Linked DNA regions of Notamacropus eugenii. The protein of the gene in region 1 purifies or fractionates together with the protein of each later gene. This does not show direct contact. Links are inferred from orthologs where the notes say so. Each region holds a gene or a part of one and is shown on either strand. Other genes may lie near its edges. The genes, in order: CTTN, ACTR2 and ASAP1.

Region 1 (7,566 bases):
TCAAATGAGACAATATTTGGAAAGCCCTTACCCAGCGCCTGGCACATGGTAAGCACTCTATAAACGCCACTATTATTGTAAGTGAGGCTAAATGCTGCCACAGGGCAGTATGCTTTCCTCTTCATTCACTGCAACTCTGTGGTTTTTTGCTTAGTAAAAAAGCTGAGGAAAGCCCAGCACGAACAGGAGATCATAGGGTGATTATTCATCAGTGTGACAACATGTACACAGGGGTTGCAGGCTCTTTCCCCTTCAGAGTTTTCCTAATGAATTACCTGCTTCCTACCCCCCTCTTTTTCTTTTTTTTACACTTCATGAAAATCACCCAATTCTTACCCACTCTTCAATCAGTTGAGGCAGTTCAAGTGACTAGATGGCTTTTAAATAATGTCTTGGGTTTTCTTTTTCCCTTGTGCATCCAAGTAAGTTCCATTTTTTAAAAAAAATTTTTATATTTAGTTTTTAACATTCACTTCCATAAGATTTTGAGTTTTGAATTTTCTCCCCCACTCTCTCCTCTGTCTTCTCCAAGAGGGCATGCAATCTGATAGAGGCTGTACTTATGCATTCATATTAAACATTTTCACATTAGTCATGTTGTAAAGAAGACTTAGAATGAATGAGAGAAGCTAGGAGAAGGAAGAAGTACTACAACAACAAAGGGAGAGGAGGGCAAATAGTCTGCTTCCATCTGCCTTCAGGCTCCGAAGTTCTTCCTCTGGGTGTGGATGCATTGTTCGCCCTGAGTTTTTTGCAGTTGTCTTAGATCCTTGCTTTGCTGAGAAGGGCTAAATGTCAAGGTCAGTCATCACCTAGTGTGGCTCTTACTGTGTACAGTGTTCTCCTGGTCCTGCTCACTTCCCTCAGCATCAGTCCATATAAGTTTTTCCAGGTTTTCCTGAAGTCGCCCTGCTCATTTCTTATAGCACGACAGTATTCCTTTGCATTCATACACCACACTGGATGGACACCCCCTCGATTCCCAATTCCGAGTCAGCCTCAGAAATAGAGTTTGAACATTGGTTCTCTTTCTCCCTGTACCACACTTCTCTCCCCCCACCCCAATTTTGGGGGGAATGTAGGGTGAGATTTTACTCAATTACTTTTCTGCCAGGACACTTCTTGCTTAACACAAGACTTCCAGGTCAACATTAAAAGCTGAGTTTATGGCAGGTGGCACCCAATAGCTGGATTCTGCAGGAGGGGATGAACAGTCAGTGACTGCACAGGCTTCTATAAGAACATTGTACCCATGAGCAGCTGTGATGACCAGCCCTATTAGGAGGAAGCTGCCAGCTGTGCTCATTCATTTGAGCCAATGGAGGCTTCTGTAGTTCAATCATTTACTACTAGCTATTCAGCTTTAAGCAAATCAGTTAACCTACTGGCCTGTTTGCTCATCTGTGAAATGGGAATGATGCTTGGCACTGGCTATCTGGTTGTGAGGATCAAATGAACTCACTTATGTGAAAGTGTCATGTGGGATTGTGTTGTGTCATTAAATTATAATGACTCCTGGAAGATAAGTGTCATTAAACAGCTCTAGGCCCTCCAAGGATGTATACCAGGTGAGAGATGGTAGGCATCTAGGTAGCACAGTGGATAGAATGCCTGGCCTCAGACCCTTAACTAGTTGTGTGGCTCTGGGCACTTAACCTGTTTGTCTCAGTTTCCTCATCTGTAAAATGGAGAAGGAAATGGCAAACCATTCCAACATTTTTGCCAAGAAAACCGCAAATGGGGTCATGAAGTCAGACACAACTGAACAAGTGAATGACAGACAACATTATTTGACTGCCCCATCTCCAGTCCCTGGTTTGTACTACCCTGCCTGGGGGATTTTACAGACTTATTGGAGTTGGCATTTTTTTTTTTACTTTCAGAATCAGTAACTCCCCTTATTTCCCCCCTTTATCACATAAAAAATCCCCCAATTGTGTGTAAAAGCAAATTTTAGCATTTTGTTTGTTTTTTTTTAATTTTGGGTTCCAAGTTCTGTCCTTCCCATTCCTTTTCTGAGATGGCAGTTGATTTGGTATACGTGTGCAGCCATTCAGAACGTTTCCATATTATTCATGTTGTGAAGGAAAATGGACAAAATAAAAGTTTTTCTTAAAAAAGTATGCTTCATTCTGCATTCAGATTCCATTAGTTCTTTCTCTGGAGGTGGCTAGCATCTTTCATCATGAATCCTTTGGAATTGCCCTGGATTGTTGTATTGTTGAGAAGAGCTAAGTGATTCAGTTGATCATCATACACTATTATTTACTGTGTACCTTGTTCTTCTGGTTCTGCACCTTTCACTTTGTATCCATTCATCTGTGTCTTTCCAAGTTTTTCTGAAACTTTCCTCATAGTTTTTTTTTTTTGTTTTTTTGTTTTTTATAGCACAGTAGCAATCCATCACAATCCTTAGCTACAACTTGTTCAGCTATTTTCCAACTGGATGACATCCCCTCAATTTCCAAATCTTCACCACCAGTAAAAGAACTGCTAGAAATACTTTTGTACATGTGGTCCCTTTTCCCTTTGGGGTACATACCTAGTATAGTAATTCCCTTTTAGATGCAGCCCTTCTTGTTTCCAGAGAAAAAATTCCCCCTTCACCCCCACCCCCCAAACTCCCTTGACTCTCCACTCTTTAGTTTCAGCCCTGACATTCTGGAACAGTAGGGTGTAATGCAAAGGGCTTTTGATTTAGCCAAGATGTGGGAACAGGCCTGGCTGTTGTTTGCTACGGAGATATTTTTCAAGCAAATATTTGTTGAACCTGAGTTGCTTTTCGCAGTTTTCTAATCTGTGAAATGCAGAAAATATAGCATCTTCCTTCTGGGGATTGTTGAGGATCAAAGAGAGTAGAGGTCACAGGCCCTTTCTGGGAAAACTTATCTGACCCCAACCTAGGCATTGTGTTGGTCTAAGAACATTTTCAAAAGCTTACAGAAAATCAGATCTGGGCCTTTCCGCCGTAGCTATCCTTGTTCAGGCTTGTCCAACTCTTGGTGACCCCATTTGGGACTTTATTGGTAAACAGACTAGAGCTGTTTACCATTTCCTTCTCCAGCTCATTTTTACAAAAGAGAAAACTGAGGCAAACAGGGTGAAGTGACTTGCCCGGAGTCACTCAGCTGGTAAGTGTCTGAGCTCAGATTTGAATTCAGGGAGATGATTTTAGGGTTAACTCCAGGCCGGGCACTCCATCTGATGAGGTTCAGACTCTGGGAACTTCCTTGAGCTCCCCTGGAATTTCCTCACTGAACCTGGCTTTTCATACTCAAATTGAGCTCTCCTGTATCTCCTCACAGACTCTGACCTTTCATACTCAAATTGATCCCTTCCTGTATCTCCTCACAGAATCTGGCCTTTCATACACAGATCAGTGATCATTGTCTGTTATCCCTTGATTGCCCTACCTGCTTCCCACTTAGGCGCCCCCAAGTCTGATATTTGTTGACTCTCCTCAAGACCCTTCCTAAACCCCTCCTCCCATCACCCTGGACTACCAGAGGCCCCCCCCCCCCCCCCCCCCCAGATCCCTCCTATACTCTTTTCTGTATTTAAGTTTCATCCTGCCTCCATGAAGGCGCTCAGATGCAATCCAGCTCAGACTCTGTCTAGCTGGGATTGTGTCTGGCCCGCTTGTGAATACAAGCGTTACAAAAGCTTAGGCTCCTTAAGAGGCAACCCAATTAGGCGAATCCTTAATAAACTGTTTTCTTTGGCTTTAAGAAGGCTTGAGTCGAATTCATTCGAGCACGACCCGGACCGTCGGGTATTTTGGGGTTCCCGATCACCCCTGAACCTCATCACATCCACTTCGAGGACATCTGAGTGCACTGGGGATTCCACAAAGTCCTTTGTGGCCTTGGATGGATCATTTAGCTTCTCTGGCCCTCAGTTTCTTCCTCTGTGATATTGGGGGAGTGGCTGACTGATGAGGTCCTTTTCAGCTTTTCATTTTCTCTCTTGAACTATTCAGGAGACAGGTGGAACCAGATTTGGGTGTCCTCCCAGCTCTGGCTCCTGGACCCAGAGAGGGGAAGGAAATGGCCCAAGGTGAGTCAGAGGCGGCGCCAACTTTAAGGAATACAAAGTATCTGCTGGGAGAGGGCCGGGCTTCCGACCCTCGAAACAAGCTAGTCCCGAAGGGATACAAAGTATCTGCTGGGAGAGGTCCCGGCTTCCGAAGGAAGCCCGAATGTGAATTCCAGAATGCCCTGGGAGCCCGAGGGTCCAGGCGTGGGGTGGGATGAGAAATGAAAGAAAGGAAGAAGGGAAGAAAAGGGAGAAGGGAAGGATGAATGAATGGATAGGAACGCTGGGCAGTCCCCTAGGCTCCAAGCTGGGGGGTGATGAGCAGAAAGAAAGAGCAGACCCGAGGGAGACGCGGGGCGCAGGGTGCAGGCCGGGCCGGGCTGGGAGGACTGGCTCCGTTCCTCAGGTGGCTCCTGCGGGCTCCGCATCCCGGGCCCATCCCGGTGCTGACGACACAGGAAGTGTCGCGAGCGGAAACCGCGGCCGGACCGGAGCGGCGGGGAGGGAAGAGGAGGGCAGGGCATCGGTGGTCGCTGGCGAGCGCGGACGCACAGACCGAGGTGAGCGCGCGGAGGCGGGAGATTCTCCACGGACCGGGCGCGGCGCCACACGGGGCAAGGGGCTGCCGGGGAGGCCGACCCGGCTGCGGTTTCGCTAAGAAGTGGCAGCGTCTGGGCTGCTGCGGTTTGTCGTCTGCGGCTTTTTGGCCGAGGTAGAGGGGGGAGGGGACGCTGCTGAGCGTGAATGTGGATGTGGTCGGGTTCGAACTGAGCCCCCACCGCGATCTGGGGTGTAGGTAGGGGTTGTGGTCAGGGAAGGGGGCTGCCCTCCTGCTCCCCCACCCACACACGGGGTACAGTAGGGGACGAGAGCAGGGAGGGCCAGGTAGGAACTGGGTTTGATGAATGTGTGTGCGAGTCCTTGTCCGTGGGACTCAGGCCTCGGTTGCGGGCCGGGCCGGACCGCTCCTACTCGGGCGGTGTAGATAAATGGGTGTGGCGCCTTCCCTAACCCTCGGGCCGCTGCCTCCCAGTCTCTTGTGGTATGTCCGGCAGTCTGGTCACTGGAAAATGCAGCGACCCCTCCCCCTCCAGCCCGAGGGCTTCTGTCTGCGGGATTCCCCTTTCTGGGGGAGGGGTGGATGGGTAGGTTGGGCAGCGGAGGCTTTGTGGCCCGCGTCCGTGCACCACGAGCTTAGAATTCTCTAGGGAAAAGTTCCTCCGTGAAGGTAGGTGGGCTTGGACCTGTGGGATTTTATCGTCTGGTTGGATTGGGAGCTCCTAGGACCAGGGCCAAAGGATTCTTGGCACCCAAGAAAATGGCTTTTTAGCGGAAGGGGGGAGGGTCTGCCTAGGACTACTACTATCTCCTACCTGACCGAACCCACCGCCCAGGTCAGCTGGGGCAGAGCCAGAACACTTGGGTGATCAGCCCACTCTTCCGGGACCTGGCAAAGAGCGAACCCTCTGTGAATAGTACGTCAGATCCAACCCAGGCATTTGGGTTTGGAGTTTCTGCCTTTTCACTCCCTCCCAGTCTCCATGAGTCAGTGCCTCGTGTACTGCCATCGAGCACATCACATTTCTCTCCAAGCTGGTTAGATGTTTGCTGGAGAATCCAAGTATTTCTAGGAGGAGCTACTTGTATCCCAGCAGAAGCTGGGGAGACGATCCCTGCTCTATGTGCGATTGGGAGGGCAGGGTAGGCTCTCTTGGCCTGGACTTGGATGGGGGGAGGGGAAGGTTGTGATATGTCAATTTTTACCAAACCATTGATTTAAAAGATTTTCCAAATAAAGGAATTTCCACCCTTTTTGCACATGCTGGACTGGTTTTGATAGCTGGGAGAATGATAATGGGTCTTGGAATTCCTGTTGTCTGAGAACTGATTGAAGGGAAAAAAGCAGATTCTTGGGGACTGGATGTTTGTCTGCAAGTATCAGGAAGGAAGGAAGGAAGGGATTAAGACTTTTTTTCTTTAAGTTAGTTTGGAATTGCTAAGAGGTAAATGTAGATATCAGAGAACTATCCAGTGTGCTTTTCTCTCTCTGCCTTAAAGCTAGTGCTTATCCTCTGAAATTATCCCAGATATAGGGAGGTAAATGCAGATAGGTAGTAGGTAGGTAGGTAGATGGATGGATGGATGGATGGATGGATGGATGGATGGATGGATGGATGGGTGGATGGATGGAAGGATACCTATATAGATATAGGTAGACATGTAGACACATTCTGTATGTCTCCTCTTCACTCCTGGAACGTTAGGATGGGCTAAGACTGGCACTGGTTTTGCCCGTCTGTATTTCTAGTTTAGCCCAGTTTGGCACACGGTAAGCACTTAGAAAATGCCTACTGCCTGGACAAGTTCCTTTAGGAAGGAGGAGACTCTCCCTCTCTGGAGGAGCTGGGCAGAGCCTGTTTGCTTGTGGGAGATGTTTGGGGGGCTGAGCCAGATGCAGGAAGGCTGATCTATTTGATTCAGCTCAACAAAGTGCTTTTCCTCCACTTCAGGTCTGACCATTTCAGTCCCCTTCTCCATTGCCATAGGCTCCCAGTTTGTCATTTTCGGTCTGTGGAGCCTTGGCTCCAAGTGGCTTTTGCAGGCTCCTCGTCCCCATTCATCCCTAAGCTCTTTACAGCAGAACATTTGATGTGTTCTCTTCCCTCCCCAGCCACCACCCGGCCTTTCACCTGGATTATTACAGCAGCCTCCTCCCTAGTCTCCCTGCCTCCTCTCCTCCCCTCAGTTCTTCCCCCTCAGGAACTTCCTCTGATCTTGTCACACACTCCTGTTCAATCAAGTCAAACCAATGACTGCCAGTGGGGATAAAAAAAAGTCAAAACCAGTCCCTTGTCATTACAATGAACTCCAGGGTTTGCTTGTCTCTAGAGTCCAGGGGTGGGGAACCTGCAGTCTTGAGGCCAAATGTGACCCTCTAGGGCCTCAAGTGCGGCCCTTTGACTGAATATAAACTTCACAGAACAAATCCCCTTCATAAAAGGATTTGTTCTGTAAAACCTGGACTCAGTCAAAGGACTGTACCCGAGGACCTAGAAGGTCTCGAGGCATCAGGTTCCCCACCCCTGTTCTAGACTAATATTCACTCAGCTAGTTGGCATTTAAAGCCCTTGGCAGCCTGCTCCCTTCCTGCCTTTTTTCTTTTTCTATTCTACTCCTCTCTCTGTGTTCTGCAGTCTAGATCCACTGACCTTTTGGCCTTTCCTCACACATGCCATCTATTTCCAATCTCCATGCTTTTCCATGGCTGTTCCCCATGCCTGGCATGTCCTGCCTTTAAGACTCAGCTCAAGTCCTGCCTTTCCCTCAGCATTACCCCCAGTCTGCTGTGATGTACCTAATCTTGGCAGATCTTCTCTCCTGTTAGTATGTGGACTTCTTGAGGGCAGAGGCAGGGCACTCTTACAGTGCCCGGCGCATAGGAAGCCTGACTCTGGGCCACCCGACCTAGGTTTTCTGCTGCCTTTCCTGCCATACCCTGCTGTCTCTTCTCCCTGCCCCCTCAGATTCCAC
Region 2 (7,720 bases), on another chromosome or scaffold:
GTGCCAACGGCGGCGGCCATGGTAACGCCCCGCGGAGGACTGGAAACGAGAGGAAAGGGAAGGAAGAAGGGCTCCGGTGGCAGGGCGCGGCGGCCGGAAGCGGGGCAGAGAGCGTGGGCGGGAGTAGGCAACCATAGAGAGAGAGGGAGAGAAGACCCAATGGGCAGGACAAGGCGCGGGGCGGAGCCTCTGCCTCCTCCAGCCTCTCATTGGACAGCGGCGCTGCCACTCCTCGCTTGGACGCTTTCTCGAAGTCCTCCATCCGACTTCTCTCCCTCCCCCCTCAAGGAGCTGTCAGTTAGACGGCAGGCGGGGCGGGGCAAACCACTTCCGGTTGGGGCCAGAAAGTTGAGCTGAAGGAGGGGCAGAAAGAAGGAGGAGGAGGAAGAGGAAGAGGAAGAGAGCGAGCGAGCGAGCGATCCTGGGCGGTGGCAGCGGCGGCGGCGGCGGCTGTGGTAGCTTCCCCAGCGGCAGGAGCGGCGGCGGCGGCGGCGGCTAGCCCAGCTGAAGAGGGAGAGAGGCGGGCAGGCGGCGTTGGTTCTCTCCGGGGCTCACCATGGACAGCCAGGGCAGGAAGGTGGTGGTGTGTGACAACGGCACCGGGGTAAGCGCCGAGCCCGGGGGAGGCCTGTGGGGACCGGAGCCGAAGAGGGCCCGCCGGGGGAAGAGGAAGGTGTGTGGGCAGGCGGGCTGGGCGCGGCGCCGTGCGGGCCCCCGGGGGTGGGGGGCCTGCGCCCTCCCGCCCCCGCCGCCCCCGCCGCCCCTCTTCCTGTCAGCCCCCCACCCCCACGCCGCGCCTCTCATCCCCGCGGACGGGGGATGGGGGGATAGTCTCCTGCTCGCCCCCTCCCTGAGTGCCTTGGAGGAGCTGCCGAGGACAACGGGGGTGGCTGATGAAAGATAGACCCGCTCCATCTCGAGCAGCTTGTGGTTTTATAAAACAAGAGTGGTCGGGCCTTCCTCTTCCTGTAAACTCGAAGGTAGAGCCTCGGAGGCAGGAAGCGAGGGGCTAAAAAAGGAAGCAGGGCTGGCAGCCTCCGTCTGCAAGCCGCGTCTCGGAGGGGCTCCCGGGAGGGGGTCTGGGGGAGGCGCCCACCGTGGACGTCCAGTCGGAGGAGCCTGGGCGGGCGAGCCCCGGGGGCCGAGGGCTGCCCAGGTGTGGTGGTGACCTTGGGAGAAGTTACCAAGCCCCTCCCGTTCCTCTTTTTCTCCTACTGCGAGTTCCCCATGGGTATGATCTTAAATGAGATCCCCGAACGCCGGGAGTTGTAAAAACGGTTGGTTATTCCCCCTCCCTTTCTTCCCCCAGGCTCCTTTTGGGAGAGGGGAAGAAAGGTCTGCCTTTTTTTAAAATTTTTTATCAGAAAGCAAAATCAGAACAAATCTCAAGATTGAAACATGATTTCTTTGGAATGTGTTCTCCAGGAATGATTTTATGTTACATTTGTTTTTATGTTACGTTTTTATGGTACATTTGTTCTCAACTCTTCTTGAGGTTGCCACAGCATACCGATGTACAGATGCTTTTTTAGTGATCCTGCCTACACTTCTCTCTCCCAGCAGGGTCTAGTATGTGAATTAAAATTAAAAATAATTATTTTGGTAAACTCTTCTAGAATTATACTGTGGAAAACATAATGAACTTGAAATAAACATAAGTAAACCTTTTGTAAATTAAGAAATTGAAGCCCAGAGCAGTTGTGACTTGCACAAGGTAACACCTCATGTTAGTGGCATCACTGTGACTAGAACCCAGCTTGGTAATTTATTACTTACTGTACTACACAGGTTTGCCTCTTATAATGGTGTGGGCTGTTGGAAAAAAAAAATGGTTGGGAATCCCTGTTGCTTTGATGCCATAGCCTTTTAAAGGGATTATTAAATATAAAATGTACTGGAAAAAATACACTGATTTCTTAGGACACTTTCATTTTGATTTTTGTCAAAGGAGAAGATTGAAATATAGGATTATCTCTGATTTATTTCCACTATACTCACAGTAATGTTCAGAAAGCAATTTTGTGCATGTATTTAGAGATCTATATAGGGTTAGTGATAGTAGATGAGAGTTCATTCGCTTAGAGAACTTCTAAATGAGGAAATTCCCTCTGCAGACAATGCAAATTGACACCTTCTCTGTAACTGTGTGTGTGTGTATATATATTGTTAGTGTCTGCAAATATGAATACATTAATTAGTTTAAAATGAAGAAAGAACCAGCATTAGTAATGAAGTAATATTGATAGCATCATAATACATTCATGGATACTTTGGCATTTCTATAAGCTTTTGATATAGACATATATATATATACAGTCTAGTAAATCAATCACACCCTGTCTTTTATGTTGATTTTATTCTAGAACAACATTTCATATGCATTTAAATATTTGCAAGGCCATAGTATGCATGTAGCATTTTCATTTGTTCTTTGTTCGTTCAAAGTTTTTTTAGCGATGGTTTATGCCAAAGTTTGGTGATTTTTTACTACTTATTGGCCAGGCCTTTTGCCTTCAGATTCTTCTGTTTGCAAATAATAATGTGCTGAGTTTTACCAAGGCCCAGAAGATCACAGAGCCTTTTAAATCATTTAGTTCAGTTTTAACTATTCACATAGAGAAACCTAAAGAATGCCTCCATCCCAGACTGCTATGCAGTTTGATAGGCAACCTGTAGCTTCTATTTGTTGAACAATAACAAATTGTTCAACAATTTTTTGAAGCAAAGAAAATAAGCAACAGAGCAAGAATCCACGTTAACCTGTATGAGTTGACTGGACACTTAAAAGATGCTTTAAAAAAAAGTTAAGTGATCGTTTAATACAGTTATGAGCTGTGCTGAAAATAAAACAAGAAGAATAATGGGCTAGACTGTGTTTGTTAAATAGCACAATTATTTTAGTGACAGTTCCCCTCCAAGCTTCTTCCTATAACAAAAGCTCTTATTTTTTTTTTAACACCAGTAGTCTTATTGTGATGTTACATAGTCACATATAATCATACTCTGTGGTTTATGGAATTAGATGGAGGATAAACCAAAAGGTACATGGTAGGCAGGGGTAGCATACAGTATGTTCCAAACCAGAAATGGCTCAGGAAAGGCCTTGTGATAAAGATGTAATCAGAAATACATGATCAGGAAAACCAAAAAAGGTAAGCCAGTCAAGAACAAAGAGTAATGGATAGCCTGCACTTCCTTGATATCCACTGATGCCTGGAAAATGAGAAGTAGGTCCCCAAATCATTAGATAGACCCTTTGTGGCCAATTTATGGGAGAAAATGAGAGTGCATGGATGATTTCTAGTGTTCATCATTAGGAGGGATGAAATCCTAACTCCATTGAAATATAAAATTATCAGAATATTGGTCAGGCTTAAAAATGCCCAAGCATTTCACAGTTACAAGGCAGGATGAAGGTGCAGTATTTACTTCTTCATTTCTAATATTTCCACTCCGTATAACATTCAGGGTAAGGCAAAGAGAAAGGAAGCTAATACTTCTCAGTTAGGCTTCTGGTGGCGTTTGAAGGGCCCGTAGTAAAGAAGTCCTGAGTTCAGATGTGGTCTCAGACACTAACTGTACCATCCTGAGCAAGTCATTTAATATCTGTTAGCCTCAGTTTCTTCAGCTATAAAGTGGGTATTAAAAACAGCACCTTCCTTGCAGGGATGTTGTGAGGCTCAAATGAGATAATGTTAATAAAACACTTAGCACAGTGCCTAGCATGTAGGAGGAGCACATATCAATGCTTATTCCTCTCCCTCTTCTCCAAAATGTCCTAGCCCTTAAACTCCTCCAGTATTTGGCATAACTGCTCTCTAAAGTGGCATCACAAGGATTGGCAGTGAATCTGTACCCTAAAGTAACTCCAATCTGGAGATCAGGAAGGCTTTACACAAAGCTGAGAGGGATAGTTAGTACATTTTGATTGCATCCAAAAAGATCTCAACAGGTTAGTACACTGGGAAGAATCTAATTAGATAAAATCTGGTAGAGGCAAAGTCTTAGATTTGAGTTCTTTAGAAACCTACTTCCAAAGCACAGGATGGGAGAGGGAAAGTTAGCAGGGTTTTTTTTGTTAGTTTTTGAAAAAATAATCTGGGGAATTTAGTGGAATGCAAACTCAGTATGAGGCAGGAGAGTGATGTAGCTGCTCAAAATACTTAATATACTTTGGGACTGGATTAAAGTTTTAAAATTTATTTTGAACTTAAATACAAAATAATAGAAGAAAAAAATTGCCATATACATAGCAGAACACGAGAGGATTCAATATAAAGCAATGAATTCCCATTTCAAGAAAAACAATATAAGTACAACACATTTTCAAAGCCGTCCATCTTTTCTTTGCTTTTGTATAGATTTTCTTTTATCCTCTGCTGTGCACTTTTTACTTTATTTTTCCCTTTCCCCTCCCCAAGAAGGCTGCAATTAAGTGCAGATATATTTTTTATATATAACATAAATATACATACACATATATATACATATACATAAACATACATATATACACATATACATTCAAATGTGTGTATGTAAGACCGTATTATACGTGTTTCCATTTGTCATCTTTTTCTCTGAAGATGGATAGCATCTTCCTTCATAAGTCCAAGTCTCTATATTTTTCCAGATCCACCAGCTCATCATTCCCTACATCACAAAAATATTATGACTCAATCATATTCTATCTGAGAGATTGTGAGAGTTTTTCCCTCAATTTTCTGCATTCACTCTATTCTTGGCTACATAGGTTTTGAGTCTCTTTCAATTGAGGATTGGTTGGTGGATTTGGGAATGGATAGCTTGACGCAGAGAACACTTGGAAGGGAGAGAATAGTTGTCTCTCCAAGTATTTGAAGGGCCTTCTTGTGGAAGAGAAACAGAACTTGTTTGTTTGGCCCTAGGGTGCAGAACTAAAGCAGTGTTTGAAAATTGCAAAGAGACAAATTGAGATTTGATGTTTGGAAAATTTTCCTAAGAATTAGAACTGAACAAAAAATTGAATGGGCTGCCTTAAGAGAATCATTGGAGGTCTTCAAATAGAGGCTGGATCACCACTTTTCTTTTCAAGTATGTTATAGTGGGGTTGGACCATATGACCACCAAAATCACTTCCAGCTTTAATACTATGTGATTCATTCAAGAATCAATCCTTACGTAGCAGGGACAACTTGGTGGTGCTGTAGATAAGAAGCCAGTCCGTAAGACTCATTTTCTTGAGTTCAGATCTGGCCTTAGACACTTACTGTGGGCAAAGCTCTTAACCCTGCTTGCCTCAGTTTTCTCATCTATAAAATGAGTTGGAGAAAGAAATAGCAAACTATTCCAGTATCTTTGCCAAGAAAACCTCCAAAAATTGAATTTATGAAGTCAGTCAGACACAACTGAAACGACTCAACAACAATGTAGTTGAACCCTGAACTTTGCTGGCTACCGGTTACCACCCTATGAATTTTAGTAGTTTATAGAAGTTCTGCACTAGTGTATGAATTTTCTGTTATTTAACTGTGGGTAGGATTTTTTAGGGACTCTGCTGATTTTATGGAGATACTGAGGTTGTTTGAAATAAAACCATCATCTGGTTAAGAAAGAATAACTTTGAGGTGAAAGTCAATAACTCTTCAGTCTTTAGTTTTCTGGGACAAATAGGATTGCAGGATGGTGTTCTAATAATTATCTGATTAAAATAATGAAAAAGGACTAGTTTCTGATAAAATCAGTGGAAGAAAAAAGACAAGTAAAAGCAAGGTTTAAATTTGCTCATAAAATGTTTTTTCAAGCTAATGTAGCTAATACTCTTTAATTTTTGCCTGAAAGACTGTGACAGACTGTGAATGTTCTTACCATTTGATGACTCAGTGGGAAGTAAGAGAGTCAGTTTCAACCACAATGCTATGAAGAGGAAACTATATATGGTAAAACTTATTTCTTAAACACAGCCTTCTTGCACACACCAGGGGAAATTAGTAGCTAAGTTTTTAAATGATGAGAGGTTGTAAGCGTATGCCATGTCACATTTTGCCTTTTAAGGATTAAAGTGACAAAATATGGTTTGAACAAGGCTTATTTCCTTCATTTTACAAATTAATAATTGTGGTTTCTACATATTTTCTGAAAATTGTGATTTTGGTGCAGGAAGAATAAATGTTTTTTTTTCTTTTGAAATTCCTTAATATATATTTCTTTTAAAAAACTCATTTAATTTTAATACATAATAATGTACTTTAATACATAGTAATACATAATATATAATACATGAATATATATTATACATATATTATGTATAATACATGTATTATGTATAATACATAAATAAATGTACCTTAATTTTGTTTTTATAAATGAAATGAATATGTTCATGTTTTTAAAATGTTAAATTTACAGTATACTCAAGTGCACACATAGACGAACATGAAAACTACCATGTATATTTGGGAGCTGACATGTACGTTAAAGTTAGCATATGTACTTGTGAGCTTAAACTCATATGCAAGAGCTAACACAAGTCATTATGTACAGTACATTAATTTTGCCACTTGTATTTAGCGGTAAACAGACTTAATCAGCTCTTGTGAATACCAAAATCAAATTTTCTAAAATCCCCTTTCTTACATCAGAAAAAATTATCCTGTCAGATTCTTTATGGTTTCATGTAGGGGAGCTGTTCCTTGCTTCTGGGAGTGGGGAGGCAGGGAGAAGGTGGTGGTGGCTACCTATTTATCAGTTCCCTTTTAAGAGTCTTTTGCTCTAATACCTCCTAAGAGTTTGTAGATGATTTTAGGCTCTCAGTTCAGTTCAATAAACATTTATTAAGCAACTTTGTTACCTGGCTGAGTGCTAAGCCGTGGAGATACAAATAAGAAAAAGAAAGTCTCTTCCCTTGAGGAGCTCACAATTTAAGAGGGGAGAAAGAGGAGAAGACCACACTCAAAAGGAAACTGGAAAGCAAGGGGGAGTGGTATATGGAAGTCCAGGAGCCTGATATTATATGGAGTGGAAGGGGACAGCTGATGGAAAGAGAATTACCTGGGCTATATTTTTATGGTAGAGATTTTTTTTTAAACTATGTACCTGTTAAAATAGTTTTGAAGTAGTTTTAAAATTTAAAGTGAAAGATGTGTGCTATAGTATAGTTTATCGAATGATTTTGAGCATCCCAAAGAAACCTGTGTAGAAATGTTAGTCATTGTTTGATAAATACATTTGCTACATAATAATTTAACACTTAAGTGTTCATTATTTTGCATTTGAGTGTTATATTATAACAGTTTTTTCTTTGAACAGGTAGAAATTCAGATAACTTCAGAAATACAATCTAAATTGTTTCCACTTTCAGTACTGTCTCTTATCTTTAAACTTGGAAACTTTGAAAATGTCTTTTGCAGCTTTCCAAGTAGTTAAGTTTTTTTTTCAAGTTTGCAATCTTTTTATTGCATTAAATATTGTGCTTTTTTTATTAATAATTTCTTTTCAGTTTTCAACAGTCATTTTTATAAGTTTTAAATTTTTCTTCCTCTCCCTCCCTCTTCCCTTCACGCAATTGTAGGTGGATTCTACACATACATTCTTATTAAACACATTTTCACATTGGTCATGATGCATAGAAGAATTAAAATGAATGGGAGAAACCATGAGAAAAAGCAAGAAAACCCATAATGAAATAGAAAATATTCTGCTTCATTCTGCATTGCAACTCTATAGTTCTTTCTCTGGATGTGGA
Region 3 (7,312 bases), on another chromosome or scaffold:
ATTCCTTTCCTATGCCTTACTTTAATAACATAAATTCTCCCACCTTACCTCTTTCCACTGTTTTTTGTTTTGTTAAAGAAATATTTGCCACACTAGATATGTTAGCATTATATCCACCCTTTTAGAGTTTGGGAGGAAACTTAAGGTTGTTTTCTGCAGGATAGTGGGTGTACAGAAGCTTTAGAAAATAATAACATCGTTAAGGACAGGAAATAATATCATAGACACCTAGAGTTCTTTTGTTTGATTATTTTAAATGTGGCAGTGTGGTACGGTAGAAAGAAATTAGACTTAAGAATCTGAAGCTCATCCCTGATATTTGCTATGTGATTGTGTTTGTCATTTCATTTTTCTGGTTTTAGTTTCCTCATCACTAAAATGGGTATGATAATGCCGCTACTATGTGCTATGAGGCTGGGTGGTTTGTGCAAAGTCTTCAGTCCCACTCTCTTCTCCAGTCATTGGAGTCCAGTGGCAAGACATAGGTCAGGATGATTGGGGATGCCCCAGGATGCAGTGGGAAACCTTGGCCTTTTCAAGCTAAGATATTTCCCAGGTCTCTGTAAGGCAACGCCCTGACAGAGTGATACAATACATCAACAGCTATGTATTAAGCACCCTTCTATGTGCCAGACACTGTACTTAGTGCTAGAAAGTGGAAAGATCTATAGGTTAGAGAAAACTGTGTTCCAGTTCCCTCTCTAACATTTACTACCTGTTTGGCCTTGGGCAAGTCATTAACTGGTCAACCAGCATTTATGAGTTCTTACCACATTCCAGACTCAGTGCTAAGGCTTGGGGATATAAATACAAACAAAATGATAAGCTTTCTTTGGCCTGCGGGAGCTTACATTCTAATGGAAGAAAACAATACATAAAAGGAAACTGAAAAGCACTGTGGACCAGCACAAAGAAGGAATCCTGATAAAGAGTTTTATGGAGAAAACTGCAGTGCAGCCTGGGGAGAAGAAATAAAGAGAGCTGGCCTGAGCATCCTCCCTAAATGAAAGTTCTGGAAGGAGCCATCCAACCAAAGGGAGGGGTTGCAGGGGCAGAGAGTACTTGCATATTTCTGAGGTGTGAATTCCAGGACTGTTGCGATCTTCCAGGCTTGGTAGAAAAGTCCTAACTTCAAGAAAGTTAACTCTCTTGAGCTTCAGTTCCCTTACCTTTAAAATGAGGATGTTGGATTGGAAGGATCTTGGTTGATTGGTTGGTGGTTGTCCTTCCCTCTCAAAGAGGACCAAAATGACTTCACTCTGCTAGAGTCAAGTTTCAGTATGTCCGACTATGGCTGATCAGACCAATACAAACTTGGAATGCTCTACCACAGGTTGGGCACAAATAGTCCGTGTGAACATTTGGGGTGGTTACTCCAAATTGCACATCCTGCATTTCCTTTGAGCTGTCCCAGTTCTGCTTTCCTCATAGAGCACAGCACCTTCTCTGATGTGGGCATGCCATGCTGAGGGGTCCTGTGCCAGCGTCTTCCATTAGAAGGTTGGAAGGATATCGTGTGAATCAAATGAGATAATCATTCTACCTACTAAGCATTCATTAAGCACCTACTATGTGTCAGCCCACTGTACTGTGTTTGCACACACAAAACATGAAATAATCCTTGTTCTCAAGGATCATGCATTCTGCTGGGAGGGGAGGGAACAACAGGTACATATATTAAGGCTCTATAAAATAAAAACAAAGAAACAAAGTAAAATTAAAGAAGAAACAGACTAACAATGCTGGGGGTAAGGAAAGGCTTCCAAGAGACAGCAGCACTTGGTGTTATATGTGTGAAATGTTTCTAAAGCAATCTGAGGCTAAATAAATATGAGCTTTTGTTACTTATTCAGAACATAGTAGGATTATGTCAGGTAAGAAGGTTATAAAAATGCGATAGTCATAGAATCCAGCTCTACTGGAAGGGACCTTGTGTAGTCATCGACTCCAAATCCTACCTTTTACATGTGAAAAAACTGAAGCCCATGGAAGTGAAGTCATTTGCCCAAAGTCACACAGTTACTTTTTGTATTTTACAGTGAACTGGGAAGAGTTACTAGATATAGAGTTAAGGACACCTCTGTTCTAGTCCTGGCCCTGATTTTTCTTGTCTTTGTGAAGTTAGGTAGGAGTGGTAGTGCATTGTGATTCTGGCGCCAGAACTTTGGAGTTTAATCATTCTCTGTCATTTAACAGGACTTCAAAAATGTAACCTCTCTGGAACCCAGATGCCTCAGCTGTATAGTGAGAGGGTTAGCATAGGTGATCTGTCCATCAGGTAGCAAAAAGGAAGGGCCATAAATAGAGGAGGAGTAACTGGATGCTCCTGAGGTATTAATGGAACAACCATATTGAGTAGGTAAAGTGAGGAAAATTTAGTAGAAAGTATGGATAAGATCAGGAAGGAAATAAGCATTTGTGAAGTGCCTACTATGCTCTAGGCATTTTACAAAAATTAACTTATGTGATCCTCACAACAACCCTGTCAGGTAGGTGCTATTAATAGCCATGTTTTATAGTTGAGGTAACTGAGGCAAACAGAGGTTAAGTGACTTGTCCAGGGTCACATAACTAGTAAGTTTCCCAGGCTGGATTTGAAGTCAGTTCTCCCTGATTCCAAGCCCACTGCTGTATTCACTGTATCATCCAGCTGCCTAGGATGAAAAGCTTTAGTAGGGTTAGGATCTGAACTGTAGAGAAAATGCCCAAATAGATGAAATCATGTAGCCACTAAAGGGCTATTCAGTTATTAGTGGCAGACTCATGCTCCATGACTCCCAGTCCAGTGTTTTTGGTCCTACATTCTCTCCTACCACTTTAATCTATATAAAGTCACAGAAAATATAAACATTTTTGAAGTTAATTTTTTTTGTTTAGTTGTTTCAGTCATGTGTAACTTTTTATGACCCCATTTTTGGAGTTTTCTTGACAAAGATACTAGAGTGGTTTTCCATTTCCTTCTCCCACTCAATTTCCAGATGAGGAAACTGAGGCAAACAGGGTTAAGTGACTTACCCAGAGTCACACAGTAAGTATCTGAGGCCAGATCTGAACTCAGGAAGAAGAGTCTTCCTGACTTCAGGCCCAGCACATATTATTTTACAGAATTTATCAAATTGAGCAAAATATTCTATAAAACTGATTAGAATGTTTAGATCACAGCATGGTATAGTGTACAAAACACTATTTGGAAGCAAGAAGTCTACATTCTAATCAAGTTACTATGGCTTAGTACTTGTGTGACTCTGGGCAAATCACTTCCCCCTGGCTGTTGAAATCCCTTCCTGTTCTGATTTGGAGATTTATATAGAGCACCTTAGTTAAGCCCATAAGTAATTTCAGCCTTTGACTTGGATTTCTATTTATATTCTCTTGGAATTTCAGTGCTTAATGGGTTGTAAGAGGAATTTAAAAAACTCAAACCACCAGCTTTAAAAGTTTGGGCCAGGTTTTCCAAAGCATTTTGAGAGCACTGTTATACAGCAGAAAAGGGTTTGGGATGTAAAGACAGAAGACCTGGATTCTGGTTCCAGTTTTCTCAGTAAACTAGGTGTGTGATCTTGGGTAGATCAGTTCCCCTTCAAAAGGACTTGGTTTCCTCATTTGTGAAATGAAAGCCTTTGTACTAACCAGCCTCTATGGTCCCTTCCAACTCTAAATCCTGTGGTCTTCTCCAGAATTTTTAATCCTGAGAGCCCTGAGTCTTCTGCTTAGAGCAAAAATCTCAGTGTTTGAAGGCTCCCCTGGTTTCAGATTTCACGAGAAGAGGTTAAGAGCCCAGCTTTGAGGCTCAGCTTCACTTAACCAGGCAACAAGCAGTTTGTGAAATGCCACAAAAAGTAGAGTCGAACATCCAAGAGAACACAAAAGGCAGAGGTGGAGGGAGAGGGTGCATGGAATTTCCTAGGAGGCCCAAATCGATGGCATACATACATAGTGTGGGGTCTCTTTCTCTCTAAGTACTTTTCTGTTTTCCTGGCTTGGAAATGCCCTTCCCTTCCCCCTTGGTACTAGCCTCAGAATTAATAACAACAAATTTTTTTAAAAGGCAGAAAGAAGAGTTGAAAAGAGCGCCAAGAAGTGTCGATTGTGACAAAAAGGAACTAAAACAAAAAGAATCAAAAACCCCATATTATACCAGATGCCTTCTGGGATCCAGGAGCAGAAAGGTCTGTTCTTAAATGCCTTGCTGCTGTAGATGGGCATCTTGAGAACAATTCATTTCTGAGCACAAAATGTACACCAATGGGCTTGGGAAAGGAGGAGCATGAGGAAAAAAATATTGTCAGGAAAGTTTAAGCTGGAAGAGAGGAGGGACTGGGGCAGGGACTGGGACAAGGGCAAGGGCAGGGGGGAGGGGGGGAGAAAAGAGGTGTGTTGCAAAGGGGCTTCCCAGAGCGGCTCACAGTGGAGAGAGATCAGGAACTGTTTTGAACCCTCCTGGTGAGCTCGAGTTACAAAGGTAGGTGGGCGGGTGGGCGGGGGGCTGGGGGAGCTGGGATTGACTCGGTACTCCGGCTTGCCCGGCAGGGGAAGGGTTAAAGGGAGACTGACCAGCCCGCGGTGCCGTGTATCTGCGGACATGATGGAATGTTTATTCAGTATTCAGATTTCCTGTTTAAGTGTCTGGATTTCCTGAAATCCTTGCTATCAACCCGAGGGTTATCCACTGAGCAGCGTGCTTGGGTGGTGGGTTTCCACCCACCCCGCTCCTTTCTCCCTCTCTTTTCCTTTCTTTTTCCCTCCCCCTGCTCACATGGTCCATTTTTCCTTCCTGCTAGTTCTTCTGAGTTTTAGTGCTTACTTATCGTGCGGGGCATTAATGGGCATAAAGCTCCACTCGCAGGACCCCAACCTCTCGGGATAACCGTCCTTTGGAATCGAGTTTAATATCCGACCCAAGAACACACCATATATACTCACACGAAGTATTGCAGAAACATGGTGTGCTGCGGCTGCTGGGGGGAGGCTGAGTTTTAGCCCAACATGGAATGAATAATGATGGATTTAGCTTGGATGCCTAAGCTTGGACTGGGAATACAGATGCACAAGTCCTGGTGAGTTACAGGGTAGGGGGGAGGGAGATGTAAGGAAGGGCGGGAAGTCCAACTGAGATAGGATTGTAGGCGTTGAAAAAAGCTGGTGAAAGGGAATATCTTAATATATTTTTCAAGTATTCCCCCAAATAAGCAATCAGAAACTCATCAGCTATGGAGTTTTCCCACAAGTGTGTGAGGTTTCAGAAGCAAAACTCTGAAAGACTTCACCTCTACATTCGTTGACAGCTGTTTTTTCCTCTCCATAGTCTGATTAGCCTGGACAGGAATGTTTTCCAGTCTTTGCCCCAGCAGCTGAGGAGAAAGAACTCTGGGAGTGCATTGTTTGTTTTCTGCTCCAGAGATCCCCCATCCCTGTAGCAGATTCCCAGAGGTGATTTAAAAGCAACACACAGGGTTGTAACTTGTTGAAACCGACTTGAATTTTGTTGAATGTTGTTTGGGATGACTTGGGAAGTGGGTTGTTTTTTCCATCTTGCAATTTATTGAAACTTTAAATTTTCAGTTCTATTATATTGATTTTAAAAAACAACAGACTCAGTCTAGTGTTTGAAGCTTATTCTTAAATTTCTGGGGCAATACTTGCTCTTGATTTCTTCTGTAAATTATGCGTGTTTTCCCTGGGTAATGAGTTGAATGCTCTCAAATGCATTGTGATAGATTTATTTTGAAATTGCATTTTCTATCTGAAGAGCTAGATTCAAATCCTGGCTTTGCTGTGTACTTAAACTCAGTAACTTTTAGCCAAGTCATTTCACATTTCTGGGCCTTAGTTTCCTTCTCTGTAAGTTTGACCCAAAAAATTCTTGAAAACCTCTTTCAGTTCTGAAGCATAGGCTCATATGATTAGATCCTAAATTCGATTCTATGTGTCACTAGTTTGATCTCTGGATCAGGGGTTCTTAACCTTTTTTGGGGCTTGGATCCTTTTTGCAGTCTGGGAAAGCCTGAGAACTCCTTCCCAGAATGTTCATGTTGACATACAATTGTCGATATTTTTTTTGAAGTTCACAGACTGGGTGAAGATTCCTTGCTCTAGAAGAATCCAGTTCAGTTCCACAAGCATTAATTAAATGCCTACTATGCAAAGCACCACCTGGGCACTAGAGAGATAAAGACAAGATGAAGACCAGTCTGAATCTGGTTTATGCCTCAGGCATAATCATACACTTGATAATTAAGTGGGAAGTTGCCTGAGTGGTCTGCAACCAACCAGATTATTTTTGGCAAAATTCATTTGGGGGATAAATGTGGGGTAATGTGTTGCTGGGGAATACTTTGATATTTATTGTACAATGTATTCGTCTTTTAAGTAATCCTTGTCTCATATAACCTTAACTCACAGGGAAACGTTTAATATGCTGCCTTCCTAAGTGCATTTTTATAGATTCAACTGGAGATGAAGATGTTTCCCTGAATGTTTGATATCAGAAAAACAGAATATTAGAGTTGCTAAAACCTTAAGAACATCTGGTCTATTCCCTATTTTTCTTTGGTAAAGGAAATTGAGATGCAGAAGGGAACAGTGATTCAGAAGATCATAGTTACAGAGTTGGAAGGGGCTTTAGAAGCTGAATCCAACCCTTTCATTTTGCAGATGAGGAAACAGAGGCACAGAAGGATTAAGTGATTTCCCCAGGGTCACTTGAATAACTTGTATTAGCGCTGAGACTAGAACTCAGCTTTCCTGGTTGAATCTTAGCCTAGTATATCTTCTGTGCCCTCCTGCGATCTTGCAACTCTGGAGCTAGCCATAAAAGTTTTTTCTCAGTGTTGTTATATACCAAGCATATTGAGCTATTTCATGAATTTAGCTTTGCTTTAGGGAAGTGTTCCTGTTCCAGCTTTTGATACTGTTGGGAATACTGAGTCTTTATTATTTAACAATTTTTTAACAGCCTCTTTGCAAACAAACAAGGAAAACCCAAAAGGCAACACCACTCAATACAAAATCCTGATGAAGTTCTGTGTTCTACCTATAAAACCCACAGATGGATCTGAAAAATAAATTTTGTGGATTATTACAGAGGAAATTATTTTATCAATGCTTTCAGTGAAAAACATACACTGCAGAGTCCACAGAATGGCAGTGTCCCAGAACATAATGTACCATATGACGCTGTCTTGATTTTCAGTCCTCATGTTTCTTGTAAAAGAAGCATCTCTTCTTCCCTCCTCCCCTCCCCAATCCGTGAGATAACTGAATGACTGACTATTCATATTTAGCATGTGAGAATGGAGAGAAAAGGACATTT

What was found.
Region 2: the proteins of CTTN (region 1) and ACTR2 purify together in Homo sapiens (affinity purification with mass spectrometry; 3 studies listed by BioGRID and IntAct, with this or other methods). This does not show direct contact. The link is inferred for Notamacropus eugenii from reciprocal best matches to the Homo sapiens genes CTTN and ACTR2.
Region 3: the proteins of CTTN (region 1) and ASAP1 purify together in Homo sapiens (affinity purification with western blotting; 6 studies listed by BioGRID and IntAct, with this or other methods). This does not show direct contact. The link is inferred for Notamacropus eugenii from reciprocal best matches to the Homo sapiens genes CTTN and ASAP1.

The regions. Positions count from the first base shown.
Region 1 is NC_092873.1:22,595,456-22,603,021, forward strand, and holds the start of CTTN (src substrate cortactin), read left to right. Parts: upstream 1-4,497; 5' UTR 4,498-4,595; intron 4,596-4,658; exon of another isoform or gene 4,659-4,747; intron 4,748-7,566.
Region 2 is NC_092872.1:639,069,624-639,077,343, reverse strand, and holds the start of ACTR2 (actin-related protein 2), read left to right. Parts: upstream 1-4,714; 5' UTR 4,715-5,070; intron 5,071-5,794; exon of another isoform or gene 5,795-5,817; 5' UTR 5,818-5,834; coding exon 5,835-5,915; intron 5,916-7,720. Other genes in the region: N(4)-(Beta-N-acetylglucosaminyl)-L-asparaginase-like, read right to left, coding at 1-20. UniProt on the Homo sapiens protein: ATP-binding component of the Arp2/3 complex, a multiprotein complex that mediates actin polymerization upon stimulation by nucleation-promoting factor (NPF).
Region 3 is NC_092875.1:111,872,175-111,879,486, forward strand, and holds the start of ASAP1 (arf-GAP with SH3 domain, ANK repeat and PH domain-containing protein 1), read left to right. Parts: upstream 1-4,302; 5' UTR 4,303-4,462; intron 4,463-4,497; exon of another isoform or gene 4,498-5,057; intron 5,058-7,312. UniProt on the Homo sapiens protein: Possesses phosphatidylinositol 4,5-bisphosphate-dependent GTPase-activating protein activity for ARF1 (ADP ribosylation factor 1) and ARF5 and a lesser activity towards ARF6.